3 linked regions of the Tribolium castaneum genome follow. The protein of the gene in region 1 binds, or shares a complex with, the protein of each later gene. Links are inferred from orthologs where the notes say so. Each region holds a gene or a part of one and is shown on either strand. Other genes may lie near its edges.

The links.
Region 2: the proteins of IntS1 (region 1) and IntS2 are in contact, whole or in part, in a cryo-EM structure (PDB 8RC4), measured with the Homo sapiens proteins. The link is inferred for Tribolium castaneum from reciprocal best matches to the Homo sapiens genes INTS1 and INTS2. Residues at the interface, in NP_001073922.2 of Homo sapiens: Gly561, Ile562, Ala563, Trp564, Asp565, Lys566, Gly567, Ser982, His1055, Met1056, Thr1058, Pro1060, Glu1095, Arg1096, Thr1098, Ile1099, His1102, Leu1107, Arg1225, Ser1250, Phe1251, Gly1252, Ile1253, Tyr1285, His1288, Glu1291, Val1292, Gln1293, Glu1295, Arg1296; in NP_065799.2 of Homo sapiens: Pro40, Leu54, Lys69, Leu72, Arg73, Leu75, Ser76, Gly77, Val78, Glu79, Val81, Asn82, Val85, Gly125, Thr127, Leu128, Glu131, His132, Glu166, Val172, Tyr173, Glu176, Arg322, Gln325, Gln326, Arg329, Gly400, Lys402, Thr769, Met772.
Region 3: the proteins of IntS1 (region 1) and defl are in contact, whole or in part, in a cryo-EM structure (PDB 8RC4), measured with the Homo sapiens proteins. The link is inferred for Tribolium castaneum from reciprocal best matches to the Homo sapiens genes INTS1 and INTS7. Residues at the interface, in NP_001073922.2 of Homo sapiens: Leu1378, Gln1381, Gln1382, Gly1385, Gln1386, Ala1389, His1429, Phe1430, Leu1431, Cys1433, Pro1434, Arg1437, Gln1438, Cys1440, Gln1441, Pro1476, Ala1479, Gln1480, Met1483, Leu1484, Gln1487, Arg1552, Pro1554, His1555, Leu1556, Glu1557, Glu1558, Pro1613, Ser1614, Gly1616; in NP_056249.1 of Homo sapiens: His150, Asp151, Leu187, Ala188, Thr189, Pro190, Val191, Lys194, Thr223, Ser224, Tyr225, Pro226, Ser227, Thr228, Asn262, Asp263, Pro264, Arg265, Lys266, Pro303, Tyr304, Gln349, Glu350, Cys352, Tyr353, His354, Asn355, Arg357, Ala360, Gln384.

The regions. Positions count from the first base shown.
Region 1 is NC_087397.1:1,922,821-1,927,657, reverse strand, and holds the end of IntS1 (integrator complex subunit 1), read left to right. Parts: coding exon 1-169; intron 170-366; coding exon 367-2,014; intron 2,015-2,058; coding exon 2,059-2,445; intron 2,446-2,493; coding exon 2,494-3,473; intron 3,474-3,519; coding exon 3,520-4,078; 3' UTR 4,079-4,110; downstream 4,111-4,837. Other genes in the region: DNA helicase MCM9, read right to left, coding at 4,111-4,837. UniProt on the Homo sapiens protein: Component of the integrator complex, a multiprotein complex that terminates RNA polymerase II (Pol II) transcription in the promoter-proximal region of genes.
Region 2 is NC_087401.1:16,828,454-16,833,383, forward strand, and holds the start of IntS2 (integrator complex subunit 2), read left to right. Parts: upstream 1-1,708; 5' UTR 1,709-1,824; coding exon 1,825-4,665; intron 4,666-4,930. Other genes in the region: Arc42 (short-chain specific acyl-CoA dehydrogenase, mitochondrial), read right to left, coding at 1-56, 102-478, 534-681; RpS27 (small ribosomal subunit protein eS27-like), read left to right, coding at 1,034-1,288. UniProt on the Homo sapiens protein: Component of the integrator complex, a multiprotein complex that terminates RNA polymerase II (Pol II) transcription in the promoter-proximal region of genes.
Region 3 is NC_087397.1:6,155,406-6,160,119, reverse strand, and holds the start of defl (integrator complex subunit 7), read left to right. Parts: upstream 1-1,434; 5' UTR 1,435-1,629; intron 1,630-1,684; 5' UTR 1,685-1,696; coding exon 1,697-1,787; intron 1,788-1,833; coding exon 1,834-1,963; intron 1,964-2,011; coding exon 2,012-2,296; intron 2,297-2,342; coding exon 2,343-2,589; intron 2,590-2,637; coding exon 2,638-2,818; intron 2,819-2,867; coding exon 2,868-3,024; intron 3,025-4,131; coding exon 4,132-4,349; intron 4,350-4,400; coding exon 4,401-4,714. UniProt on the Homo sapiens protein: Component of the integrator complex, a multiprotein complex that terminates RNA polymerase II (Pol II) transcription in the promoter-proximal region of genes.

The sequences.
Region 1 (4,837 bases):
TCACGCTGCCGGCGGGGTATGTGCCCCCCAGTTTGGCCATTTCTGGGCTCTATTGGAAAGTTTGGCTCATTTTGCTGATCATAGCGGCTCATAATCCGGTCACTTTTGGGAACGAGGTCTGGAACAAATACCCAACGTTGCGCATGTTCATGGAAATGTGCATAACAAAGTTAGTATCTCTTGAAGGTCAGGATATGAAACGACGTACAAATAAAACCGTTGTTCCATCACAGTCAGCTCAACTTTTCTACATTTTTTTCCAAATAATTTGTGAATTTTTACTATATTTTTTGAGTGCGATTTTGTATCTCGTTTCGCTCCGACCTCCAATCCCCGTATACTTGACCCTAACTATCCCCATTTTAGTCACTTTTCGTTTCCCCCGCCCACCATGACCTCCCTGGACGAAGACTACCAGTCCCGCGAGCAGCAAATCCTCGCCCTTGAGAAGCAAAAAATCCTGGAATTTGAATCACACCTCGCGGCCGCGAGCACTAAAATGGAAATCACCGAACAGAGCAGTCTCCTATTGCCCCAATTAATGGAGTTGCGGCCTGAGGGCGAAGCCCGAAGGCCCCCCCAAGCCGTCCTCGACCAGCTCCAACACTTGAACAACACGCATCGCATGGGACATTTATTGTGCCGCTCGCGGAACCCCGATTTTCTATTGGACATTATGTCGCGGCAAGGGGGCACCGCGCATATGCCGTGGCTGGCCGAGCTGGTGCACAATTCGGAGGGGGCGTTGGCCCACCTGCCTGTGCAATGTCTGTGCGAGTATCTCCTGTCGACGACACCGACGGAGAAATTGACGAAACATGGCCAGCTTTTGGCGCATTTGCGGACGGTGGTTAATGAGAATGATCCGCAGACTGCCTGTGAGGTTTTGGAGTATTTGTTCAGGCGGTTGACGTCCGATCATGGGGCGAGTCGGACGCAGGCCACCAAAGGCTTGAATTTGATTTTGGCCGAAGGGGAGGAAAGCGAGACGAATAATACGAACTGGTTGACGAGTTACATAACACATTTTCCACACTTTACGATGATTAAACCAGTGCTTATACAGTTTTTGCGGCAAGCCTTGCAAATTGAGACAAATCCGGCGCGGGTTTCGAGTTATATCAATTTTTTGGCAACGCAGGATTGTAACGATTCGTTTACGGAACTGCACGAATTAATCGCCGATTTATCGTCGGTTATTATCGAGAGACACAGCGTGGCTTCGTACGTGTTGCCAGGGCCGGACAACCAAACTTTGAAGCACCTTTTGACCATTTTTGCGAGTCATATTCAGAAAGCGCAGGAATTCTCGGAGGATATTTACAGTTCGGTGCAAAACTACAGCGAGTATGTTTTGGTGACTTGGGTGACTGGGGAACAATGCCACATGCAGACTTTAGTAATACACGCAGCTATTGTGTTACTGACTTACGGTCCTTTGGAGAATTTTGAGCCGTTCGAGACTTTGTTAAATTTTTGGTTTCCGGCGAACGCCGAACAACCACAAGCCTACACACCTGATACAAACGAACGAACGTCGTATCTCCCTGATTGGATGAAACTGCGGATGATTCGGTCAAACGTCCCACGATTGGTTGACGCAGCCATTGAAAAATTAGAGCCGCCAAAGTTGGTCCTTTTTATACAATCGTTCGGAATACCGACAAATTCCATCAGTAAATTGCTGAGTACTTTGGACAAAGCCACACTTTTGGACCCGAAACTGGTCGTGGACTCAGTTTTGGACAAAACTTACATGATTCAATTGGTGGAAGTCCAAAACAAAAGAGGCGCAGTGGGTGGTGACACCTTTGTCAAGGCTATCGAGATGCAAATGCCCGTTGTACAAGACATTGATGTTAAAATCGAAATCGAGAGTAAAAAACAATTACCCAACTTAGTAAAAACCCAACAGATTGTCACAAATAGCGGCGATATTATCAATTTGTTGAATAATATTTTTAGCCCAAACTATGGCGGTTCGAAAGATCGGGACATTGTCACTGTGACCAAGGTAAAGGTAAAAGTCCGAGACAATTCATACGATTCCAATTTTAGATGGCGTTTGAGAAACAATCACTGGACGTTATTTTCAATTATTTGAAATCACTACCGATGAATTTCATAGCACCTGTGCTCCATAAACACAATTCGATTTCAACGCTTTTCCGCCTGTTATTTTCGTCAAAAGACCACCTCATTGACAAAATAACCATGGCTACGGTTTTCCTCAACCACATGACAGACGTTCACAATATTACTTATTCGGTTTTGAGGCAATTCTTAAACGAAAACGACCAAAAAGTCAAAACTGAAGAACAAGGCGAACGGAAATTGGTAAGTATGATATCGGAGGCGAAAACACAGGAAGAAAAAACTGACATGATGGTTGACTGGTTATCAACAATCCAACTGGAAGTGGCTTACTCGCAAAAACAATTGAAAGTGAGTGTTTTTTTTTTCAAAATCACGATCAATCGAATTATTTTATAGGAAGATTTGTTGTTTTCGCGCGACAACTTGCCGTTTAGGCCGCTTCTTATGTCGCTGGTTTTGCAAAGGGCGAGTTGGCAGAGCCTCCACGTGATAATGAATTATTTGCTAAAAGAGGACAATTCGGACATTTGCCCTGTTTCCGCCCTTGATTTCCTCTGTGCCCTCACCCAGAGCCCGAAGCTGTGGCAGGGGCGCGATAAAGCCATTCCCAAACACCACCATTCGGAGGACGTTTTTGATTTGGGCAAAGACAAGGCCCTGATCCTTGTCGGTTATATTTTGGAGGAAAGCAAGCAAAACCAGGCAAACTGGTCGAAGAAAATGGAATCGCGGCTCGTCCTCTTACTGCAGTGTATCCGAAACTGCGCCCCGGAGATTTTGGGGACACTTTTGGAGAAGTCCGACTGTGATACGCACTGTCGGGAGCTTCTCTTGATGATTTACATGTCGCTGCCGTATTCCGGTCAAGATTTGATCAATAGCAAAGATAACATTTCGAAGCAGGCGTATGCGAAAAATTGTACGAGTTCAGCCGATGAAATCTCGCATTGTTTGTTGAGTGCGTTAGCAGCGACTCCGAGGAGTAAGGACTGGCCCCGGAAGAGCCAGGATTTGGAGCTTTGTGCCCGGAAATTGGCAGCGACACATCCGGTTTTGGTCCTGCGACAACTCCCGATGTTGGCCGGGAGTTTGAAAGGAAGGGCACAGTATGACTGGGGTGTTTTGAAAAATAGAGGACACTTGTTGCTGTTCGGACAAGTTTTGGGGCTTTTAGAACTGTTGGAGCCGATAGTTTTCGAGCAAAGTCGCACCTTGTGTGACATTCTAGATTCCTATTTTCTCCTGTTACAATATCACGGGCATATGAAAGATTTGTCGGTTCTCGTGCAAAGAATTATCACTTTTATACAAAACTGGATGACTAATGACATCAAGGCGGCGTCCCGCTATTTGCAAGAGCATGGCTCAGTTTTACTGTAGGTTTTTCAATTTTTTAAGTTGTGTCTAGAGTGTTTTTTTTAGTGATATTCAGATGATTCAACCAGGGGTGCGCCCCCTTCTCTCCAACGTGACTCTCCCGGTGGGGGATTCCAGCACTCCCCCCGAGCTACTCGTCCGTACTGCCATGTCCCCCATGATGGACCCCTTGCCCCCACATTGGTCCCAACTCCTCACAGCTATCCAGACTTCGGAGAATCTCAACATTTTGCAAGAACTGGACCACATAACAAACAAGAAACCGCATTTGCTCGAGACACCGTCTCAACACTTGTACAATTATATTAGTTCGTCTAGTGGGGCAGTGCGGTCGTTGGCTTTGACACTAATAGTGCGGTGGTTAAAATTTAATCCGAACGCAGCATCAGATGCACTTCCAGTGATCTTAACTTGTCTGGATAGTAGAAATGGTGACGTGGTCGCGAGTGTTTTGGACCGACTTTCGGACCTGGTTTCAGTTATGCAGGAGTATGGCAAGGTTATTCTGACCAGGGTTTTTCAATTAGGAATGGAATCGACGCTAAATACGACCAGTAACATTACCAAAAGTATTGATTTGTTGAATTTGCAATCGGGATGTTAAGTAGGTCTGATTTATTTTATTAAATATAAAAATTAAATATCCAAGTCTAAATCATCTAAATCCTCAAGGGATTCGAACATTTCTACATGCTTTGATGCTTTTTTAAACTTGAATTTTTTAACATTCTCCTCAGGTTCTAACATCGTGCTAGATTTAACATCCTTGAACGAAATTTCTAAATTTTCACACGTAGTTTCATCGGCAATAGGAGGTCGATCTTCTTTGGGAACAAACCGAAATTTATGCAAAAATTGGCGAGTTTTTGTCCGCTGTGAAGGCACTTGACTTGGTTCGGTTTCTTCGGGTTTATTTTGTTCAATCGTTACGCCAATTTCATTATCCATTCGAAAAATGTCGTTAACACTCGGCATGGCATTGAGAGCGGCTAGATCGTCCTTTATTTCGTTTTCCTTCGATTTTAGTTTAATCCTCTTCGGGTTCGGCGGATTCTCCCTCTTGTTTCGTTTCTTGTTTGAGACAGGTTCTTCCGTAATGTCTTTATTGACATTTTTCGTTATGTTTCGTTTATTTTTTATTATCTCTTCTTCATTTGCTATCGTAATACTTTCTCCTATTTGTTTTTTTCTGGTGTCTTTTTCATCTAATTCAATTTTATCTTTATTAACGTGCGAACTACTAGGCCTTGCGTCACTATTTTTGTTGTGAGCTGTGTTTATTTTTTCATTTTCATTAATCTTTGACGTGCTTGGCTGTGGCTCACAAACCTTAATTATTTTTTCAAACATTTTTGTATTTTTG
Region 2 (4,930 bases), on another chromosome or scaffold:
GAGGCAGCCCCCGCATCGGACCCGTTCCCCGGCTCGGACAGGGCAAAGCACCCCACCTGTAACACCAAATGAGCCCCTTTGCCTCAACTAACACAACACACCTTATCGCCGTTCGTAAACGGCGCGATAAATTTCTCCTTCTGTTCTTTATTTCCGAAATATTGAATCGGCCCTAAATACAACGAATTATTAACAGACATAATAACACCGGCACTGGCGCACCCTCTGGAAATCTCCTCCATGGCGATGGCGTACGCCACGTAATCTAGGCCCGTGCCCCCGAATTCTTCAGGGACGGCCACGGCCATGAGCCCCAATTCGCCCATTTTGCGGATCTGTTCTTTGGGGTACAGGTGCTCACGGTCGATTTTCGCCGCGATGGGCTTTAGCTCGTTGTCGGCAAAGTCGCGACAGGTCTTTTGCAACATTTGGTGCGTCTCAGAGAGGGCTGCCAGGGAGGCTATGCCCCGCGATTTGACTGCAATCAAGACGGCCGTGGATAAACAAATTTAGACGAATTAGGTAAAAATTACCATTTTGGGCCACAATTCGCGTGAAAACGAACATGATGTACTGTAAACTACACGGACGTGTACTTTGCTCGTTGATTATTAAATTGTTTAGTAAAAATTCCGTAAGTGGTTCCAAGGTTAGGTCAGCTGTCAAAACTGACAGCTGCATTTTTTACGAATTAATGGGCCCCCATTAAAGTCAGAGCCACGTTTTTATTGAGTCCAAGGGGCGCACGGTTAAATGGTCAATCAATAATTTATTTATTTATCAATTAAGGCGGGTTCTTTCGGCTCGTTGTGTTGGTAAGACGGCGTTATGGTGGTACCGCCTGTCATCTGTCACTTTCCTTTACACGGTTGATAGCCGAAGTCACCACGTGCGTTGTGGAAAAAATCAGCCTTTTTGAGTGTCCCAAGCGTTTAAAAACGTACGTAAAAGCGTAAAACGACCAAAAACATGCCTAGTCAAGTGTTTGTGGTGAAATTTTGGCGTATTTTGAGCAATGTTTGTGTTTTTCCAGATGCCGTTAGCAGTCGATTTATTGCACCCTTCTGCCGAAAAACAGAAGAAATCGCATAAGAAGAAGAGGTTGGTGCAACATCCCAATAGTTACTTCATGGACGTAAAATGTCCAGGATGTTACGCCATCTCTACCATCTTCTCCCATGCCCAGTCTGCAGTCCCCTGCAAAGGGTGCTCCACCATCCTGTGCACATCCACCGGGGGCAAAGCCCGACTCACGGAGGGCTGCAGCTTCAGGAGAAAGCAACATTAATGTAGTGTATTCATTTTTTCTAATAAATTTTATTGGGAGTAGCCGCTTTTTCATTCATCCTTCCAGCCACCGAATGGCCTTATTATCTCTTACACGCAAAAAAGGGAAAATGTAGCAAAATTGTGCAATGTTCTAGCGCCCGGAAATTGGCCTAGTGCCAAAAAATCAATAAACACAAGACCAAAAACCAAAAAGTCGTCGCAATCTATTCATTCAACCATGTCATTTGGCCCCAAATCCACAAAAAAAATAACTGCAGGTTCAGACCAGTTGAGACACGTTAGGCCAGTTGACACTTGTCAAAAAACATAACCACACTTATCAATTAATTAACGACTATCCAAGCCGTAGAATGCCCCCAAAGGGCGCAATTAAAGCCAAAACCCCTCAACCAGCCTCAATAAATAAAACAATCAAGTATTAATTATCGTTTTATTCAAAATCGTGGTCAAGCCGGAGCCGGTAAAGTAGATCGCTGTCGCGAGAGCGCACATAACCCCAAAAGTGCCGTAAACAAAGCCGGTTTGTGCGTGAAAATGTCGTTTAAGAAAGGCGTGGACCCCAAGGTGTTCCGCGCCATCCAAAACGTGGACATGCACCAGCTGTCCGAATGCACCGAGGTGGAGATCCGCCCCGTGTTGCCCTGTCTCGTGCGAATGGGGCTCATCTCGCCCCTCGACACGTCGAAAAAATGCACCACCATGAAGGTCGACATTCTCACAATCGTGTCCGGGATGGAACTGGTCAATTCGATCGTTGCCCTTCTTTCCATCGATTTCCATCGACTGGAAACCGAGGTCAAGAAGGAGCAGCAGCTGCGCCAGAAGGGCGTAGCCCTCCAGAACGACTCGATCCTGATCGGCAACTTATCAAACACCAGCATGGCCTTGGAGTACGAACGCAGCGACATGACCCGCCGTTTGAGCATCTTACTCGGGGAACTACTCTACGTCCAGAGCCAAATCCAGGACGAAAACTCGGACACGAGCTACATCAAGCCCTCGGAACTGTTCGACAACGACATTTTCGCCGAGGAATTGTCCGATATTATCTGCATAGCCTTGGCTGAACTCCCCATAACTCTAAACATTTTGACAATCACTGAAACCCTCCTCCACTTGCACAACGGCCCGCCCATCATTTGCCGAATCGTGGCGAACTTCCCCGACTGCTTCCGAGAGGTTTGCACCTACTTGATCCAAACGGGGGAAAAACAGGAAGAAACCAAACTGAGCACAGTCCGAGCCGCCACGATTTCCCTCCTCTGTAAAATGAATCCGAGCCAGGCTTTGACAATCCGAAGCAAGTGCGTCGAATTGTGCCGAATGCCCGCGCTCGCAATCACACTATCTCTGGACGGCGGGGAGGGGGACATGGTGGCGTTCATCTCCGGGCTGTTGCTAGGCAACGACCAAACAATACGCAACTGGATCGCGTTATTTATCCGGACTGGACAGAAAAAGAAGGGGGAGATTTCAAGCACCGCCCTTTTGCAACTAAGGGAGGAGTTGTTACGTCGCTTGCACGTGATTCTCGCCGCTTCTGTCGAAGGCCACCTATTGGACAGTCTCGTGGTTCAAGGCTCCGCCCTCTTGCGCCTCTATTGTGCGCTTCGCGGGATCGCAGCAATCAAGTTTCAGGAGGATGAAGTCACGGCATTGGTGCGTCTGTTGACGTCACACCCAAGCCCCACCCCGGCGGGCGTTCGCTTCGTTTCCATTGGTCTGTGCATGTTGATTGCCTGCCCCTCGCTGATTTCGCTGCAAGAGCACGAGCGACGTAGCATCGAGTGGGTGCAATGGTTGGTGAAGGAGGAGGCGTATTTTGAGTCGGCCAGTGGCGTTACTGCCAGTTTTGGCGAAATGTTACTACTGATGGCTATACATTTTCATAGTAACCAGTTGAGTGCCATCTGTGATTTGGTGTGTGCCACTTTGGGGATGAAAATCCCCATCAGACATAACAACATGACAAGGATGAAGCAAGTCTTCACGCAGGAGATTTTCACGGAACAAGTTGTAACCGCACATGCGGTTAAGGTTCCGGTTACGAACTCGTTAAGTGCGAATATGACCGGGTTTTTACCCATACATTGCATCCATCAGTTGCTTAAATCGCGCGCGTTTGCCAAACACAACGTGAATATAAAAAACTGGATCTATAAGCAGATCTGTACGAGTGTTAGTCCCTTACATCCAGTGTTGCCAATGCTAGTGGAAGTGTACGTTAACAGTGTTATAATGCCAACCTCACGGAACACTGAGACTAATAAGCCGTTGAGTGAGAATGAGATACGGCGCGTGTTTCAAAGTTCGATCTTTGGACAGTATTTCGACCACAAAAAGTCGATTTTTACCATGGATTTTGACCTAAATAGTGAGAATCAGGACGTTGTGGTGGATGGTACAAGTCTCACCCCACAACTCCTCCTCCTCTACTATCTCCTCCTGTACGAGGACTGTCGATTGGTTAACGCCCACATTTTGGCCGCGTTTAACCGCAAAATCAAGTTGTATAGTTCCGAATTTTTATCGGAACTACCAATCAAATACTTGCTACACCACGCCCAAAAAGACCAAAGCTCCTATTCGGGTCTTTTCGGGCCGTTGCTCAAACTCCTAGCTACGCATTTCCCCCACTTGACACTAGTGGAGGATTGGTTGGACGATATGTCCATCAAAACGGAGCATAAGCCAACCCACGTGACGCAAATAAGCGTCATTGAGGCTTTCAATGACTTGGACACTAACCCATCAAAGTGTGCCAAGCTTATGCAAACTTTACTCAAACAGCAAGCCATAGATATATGGCCATTTGCCGAGATTTTCACACAATTCGCCCGCAAGATCCTAAATGACAATGTCCCACGCTACTTACAAGACCTGTACAGAGACGTATGGTTACGCTTTAATACGGTACTTCCCCGCCGATTGTGGGTTCTAACCGTCAAAAACCTAGTCGATGATTTCTCAAACCTGACACGAATCGATGTCGCTGAGGATCCTCTCCAGATCATGCGATGCGATGAGCGTGTTTTTCGCTGTGCCCCTTTATATGCGATTGTTTTGAGGGTGTTGAGAGCAAGTCTCGCGTCGTCTCGCAGCCAACTAATGCAACATTTGCAAGCTAATCCGAGATTGGATCATGCGGGGCAAGTTTTAAATGAGAGTGATAGAGAGGAGATGTGTCGGGCGACCATTGCAGCACAGGAAAGTGCAGCTGTTCAAATGCTACTAGAAACTTGTATTGAGACAGATGAGGATCGTACGATTGGGGGGCAAAAGTGGGCACTTCAGGAAGTTAGGTCGTTGGTTTGTAGTTATCTACACCAGGTTTTTATCGCGGATACGATGTTGGCCAAACTGGTACACTTTCAGGTGAGTGATTGTGTACATCGCACTCGATATGGAATACACAGCGTGTTTCGTCTAAACCCCAAAGTTCTAATAAAGATATTTATCTGAAAGTTGGTACTCGGCCAAAATCCGTTGAGTTCAGTTGAAATGAAAATCTTGAAAATATTTTCAAGATGGTGGCACTTTTGGTTATACCGGAAGTTACTACTAACTTTCTTATTTTAAATGGAAATCTATGTTTTTTATTGCGTTTTTGGATTAGTTGAGTTATTTTAAGGCCGTTTTT
Region 3 (4,714 bases), about 4.2 Mb from region 1:
AATGTACAACAACTTTTCTATAAAAGCATTTTGCAAAATTTTTATTCATTATTTTCACTATTTTTCTCATTTCCTTTGTACAAACGAACCTGTGATATGAAATTTTGGTGTCAAAATTAGTAGTATCGCCACAAGTTGTGTTTTTAAATCTCCAGAAAATTCAGTTTTAAAAGTGAGGTTATGTTATCATTTGGAAATATGAAATCTTTCACTATTATGGATTTTGTGTCTGTTTCTGCTCTTTTAGAACGTTATTAATTATTATTAAATTGAATTGAAAGGCAGATAAATCTACCTTTGAGTCAATGATATAAACTTCAGTGTGATTTATTGAAATGTATATAGGGCACAAATAAACTTTTCGTGTTAAACATTTTGATTAAAAAGGGTATTTAATCGTTTATAAAGGGCATGTTAAGGTGTGTTAAGTTTACCACATAATAAAACATAAAGTACAACAACTTTTCTATAAAAGCATTTTGCAAAACTTTTATTCATTATTTTCACTATTTTCCTCTTTTCATTAGTACAAACGAGCCGGTGAATGAAATTTTGGTGTGAAAATTAGTGGTATTGCCACAAATTGTGTTAATTTTAGGTCTCCAGAAAATTCGGTTTTAAAAGTAGGGTTATGTTATCATTTGGAAATGTTAAATCTTTCATTTTTATGGATTTCGTGTTCGTTTCTGCTCTTTTAGAGCGTTTTTAATTTTGATTGAATATATTATGGGCAGATAAATCTACCTTTGAGTCAACGACTTAAACTTCAGTGTGATTTATTGAAATGTATATAGGACAAAATTGAACTTTTCGTGTTAAACATTTTGATTAAAAAGGGTGTTTAATCGTTTATAAAGGGCGTGTTGACGTGTGCTAAATTTACCACGTAATAAAACATAAAGTACAACAACTTTTCTATAAGAGCATTTTGCAAAATTCTTATTCATTATTTTTACTATTTTCCTCCTTTTCTGTAATAACTCATTCGCTTTTCGGGGGCCATTCTGAATACTGTAATGAATTTTTAAAGATAAAGTTTGCGAAATATGAAAATTTTAAAGAATTTTTAAAAATTCATTAAGATCTCAAGGGGACTTTATCCGAACATGATTTTTTTACAGTCGAAGGCCCTATCGAAGGGCTTAATCCCCTGCAAAAATAAAGAAAATTGCAGGATATAAAGGGGGTGAAAAAAAACAGTTTGCGTTGCTTGAATATGAGAATAAAAAATGCAGAAATTAAATACAGGAGATGTTCTACAAATGTGAGATGCAAGTCAGCGTAACAGCTTATTGATGTTTTTATAATGATTTACAATTATTTTGATAATTTGCCTGGTGTGAACTTGGCTGTAGAAAACGAGAATAGTGGGGACATGGTGCTAGCTCCATGCACGCAGCGATTGTCTGGTCGACTGTAATGTTCTTGGTGCCAGCACCATTTTTTTCTCTCTTATTCTATGTTCCCAACATAGGTTAAACTAACCTAAAAACTATGCTAAAAACACCAAAAAATAAAAGTTTGGATGTTGAACGCGTTTATTGATTTTGTGACATGAATGCCGATGTGGCCCCCACTTTGTAATTTTCTCACGAGTTGATGACCCAACTGGCGTGAAATATTTCACCCGTAAGATTAAAAAAATTCCAGGTTATATTTGTTTTGCCTACTAACAACATTCCAGCGATTTTCCAAAATGCTGAGCGTCCGCGTGAGTGCCTTCAATGAAAACGGTCTCGGAGAGCCCGAGCAAGACGCCAATTCGGCTTTAACCGAGCTTGACAAAGGTTCAAAGCGCGGTATTGAGTGCCTTCTTTAAAAGTGTCTTTTTAGGGCTCCGGTCCGGTAAAGTGGGCGAGCAATGCGAAGCAATTGTTCGTTTTCCAAAGTTATTCGAAAAATATCCTTTCCCCATCCTCATCAATGCGTCATTACTGAAATTAGCGGAAGTTTTTCGCATGGGGTACAACTCTCTACTGTAAATAACTCTATTTAATGGCACTGTTTTTAGTAACAATTTCCTAAGACTGTGCGTGTTGCGTGTGTGCCAACAAAGCGAAAAACATCTAGATAAGATTTCGAGTGTTGATGAGTTCGTTAGAAGGATTTACAGTGTGATTCATAGTAATGACCCTATTGCTCGTGCTGTGACGCTGAGGACGTTTGGGGCCGTGGCTGCCATCATTCCGGAGCGACAGCAAGTGCACCACAGTATTAGAAGCAGTCTAGATTCTCACGATAATGTGGAAGTCCAAGCTGCAATTTACGCCGCTATTCAGTTTGCCGCCCAATCAAAGTAGTAAAAGTTGCTCAGAATTCATTATTTTAACAATAATTTGTAGAACATTCGCCGTAAGCATGTGCAACAAAGTCTCTGACATGATCCAAGGCCAGTCAACGCCTGCCAGCATGAAATTACAATTAATCCCAATTTTACAATACATGCACCATGATACCAACACGGCTGCGATGGTGAGGACACTCTGTATCGATTTACTGCCAAGTTATCCAGCCAAAGACTTCGTTTTGGTCACTCTAAACACACTTACCCAGTTGGCAACGGCGACTCTAGTTGACGTCCCGAGTCAAGTAATTTCATTAATTTGTCTTCCAATATTCTCCAAAACTGTCTTTTAGGTCAATTTACTGTTGCAATATTTACGCAAAGACTTGGGGAGTGAAGTCAAGTCGAGATGTTTGCAATTTTTGTACCAGTTCGCCAAACCGGGGGCTCATTTGTGGCCCCCGGGGGCCACCAACAATATCATAGATTTTACTTTACACACGCATCAAGCCCGGTTATTAACCCTGGCTCTTGGTAAGACGATTTGAGGTCTTGTTTTGCAAACTGATTAATTGATGATTAGGTGTGATTCAAGTCTTGACTGAATCGCCCCGAATGTGTCATGATTATCGCGACAGCAATTCAAAATTGAGAGAATTGTGTATGAAACATTGTTATTCGTCACAGCCTACAGTCGCAGTGCAAGCTATACAAATTTTGACACAACTTTTATGCTACTGGTGAGTTTTCTCATAGGTACGGAGGGCAAAACTAAGGGGCGAAATGATGTTTAAAATCGTTGTCTTAAATTATTTGATGCGGGAATGTTAAGACTTAATTTTTTAGCAAGCTGTGAAACAAATAAAATTTGCCCAAACAAGAGATTTTTTTAATTTGAAATTTGTTCCATATTTATTTCAGTATCGAATTCGCCGTAATTTATTTATTAATAATTATAGAATTATAGAAGTTTTTTGAAGCTAAGGAGATGATAAATCTATAAATAAAAAATAAAATAAGTACAAGGTGTTAATAATACCATATACAGTGTGATTTTTAAAAAACGAGCTGCCCTGAGTATCAGAAAATAAACAAAAAATTAAAACATCCCGAGACAGGTCAATTTTTATTTAACCAGAGACACCTTTTAGTGTTTTATTTGACTCACTTTGACTTTTCAGCTTGATTTTAATTATGTTAATTAGCGTTTTCATACAAATTATAAAACTAATAAATTCAAATGATCACATGGTACAGACAACTCTTCAAAATACCTCAAATAAAGGTATTTTCAACTCTTATTAGAGATTGGAAATGTGCCATTAAATTTTTAGATAATAATGTAATCTTTCTAAAAAGAAAAAACTAAAGACTGACCCCTAAATCCGGATTGTTTCCTTTTTTTCTCCCTTGAAATCCTATCCAGTAGCATACACTAACCACAATCAACACACACTAGCCAACGAATTGTGTAAGAATATGGATAACACGTTACCAGTACAAAATATACTATTTGAGATAACTAATTATTACGAGGTGGAAAACAAAGAAGTTTGTCTGATTCACTGATTTTTGTTACGCCTACGTCACTTTTTTTTTGTTAAAACTTATTTGTTGAGCAAAAATTCCAGAGAAACCATTTTAACGAAATCTTAATAAGTATTTGTAATTACACTATTCTAATACACATTTAAAATAAAGGCAATTTTTCTGTATTTTTTTTTAATTATTTGATTCTTGCTTCAAATTAAATTGTCGTTTTATTGTGCAAAATTTTAAAACTGACTTTTACACCTGTCGCCCCCTAATAGTTTAGTCCTCCGTTACCCAGGAAGAACAAAAAACAGTCGTATTTTTAGCTACAAGGAGAAACTGGAGACTGAAAGAGCGGACGAAGTGATTTCGGCCCTCGAAACTTTAATTTTGCTTTTGACTTTTTCGAACGACAAACACCCAAAACAGCTCAAGCTGGCACTGAAATGTGCTGTTCGACTGTGCGAAGCGCGGAGAGAATATTGCGAGACGTTTGTGGAACTGCTCGGCACTCGCCTCGACAACATACACAGTATGTTATTTCAATTATGGTTCAAGAACAAATCAAATCGATTTTTTACAGACGACTGTACCATCGTCATCTGTGAGACTTTGGGGGCTATTGGGGGCCTCAAACCCGACACTTTACTCTCGCTTCTCGCCAGTATTCTCAACTTATTGCGCGCTTTATCCGAAATCGACCAACCAACGGAGCAACAAACGCGCATCAAAATCATGCTTTGTACGCTGGTTTTCCAAAGCATGTCTGACTACACCTGGAACGAAGAAACCGAAAGTGCGATTTTTTGCGTTATTGAAAATAACAATCTGTGGGCGAATTATTGCATAGCGCGGGCTGCGGTCAGATACGGCCACCACAAAATCGCAAATACGATT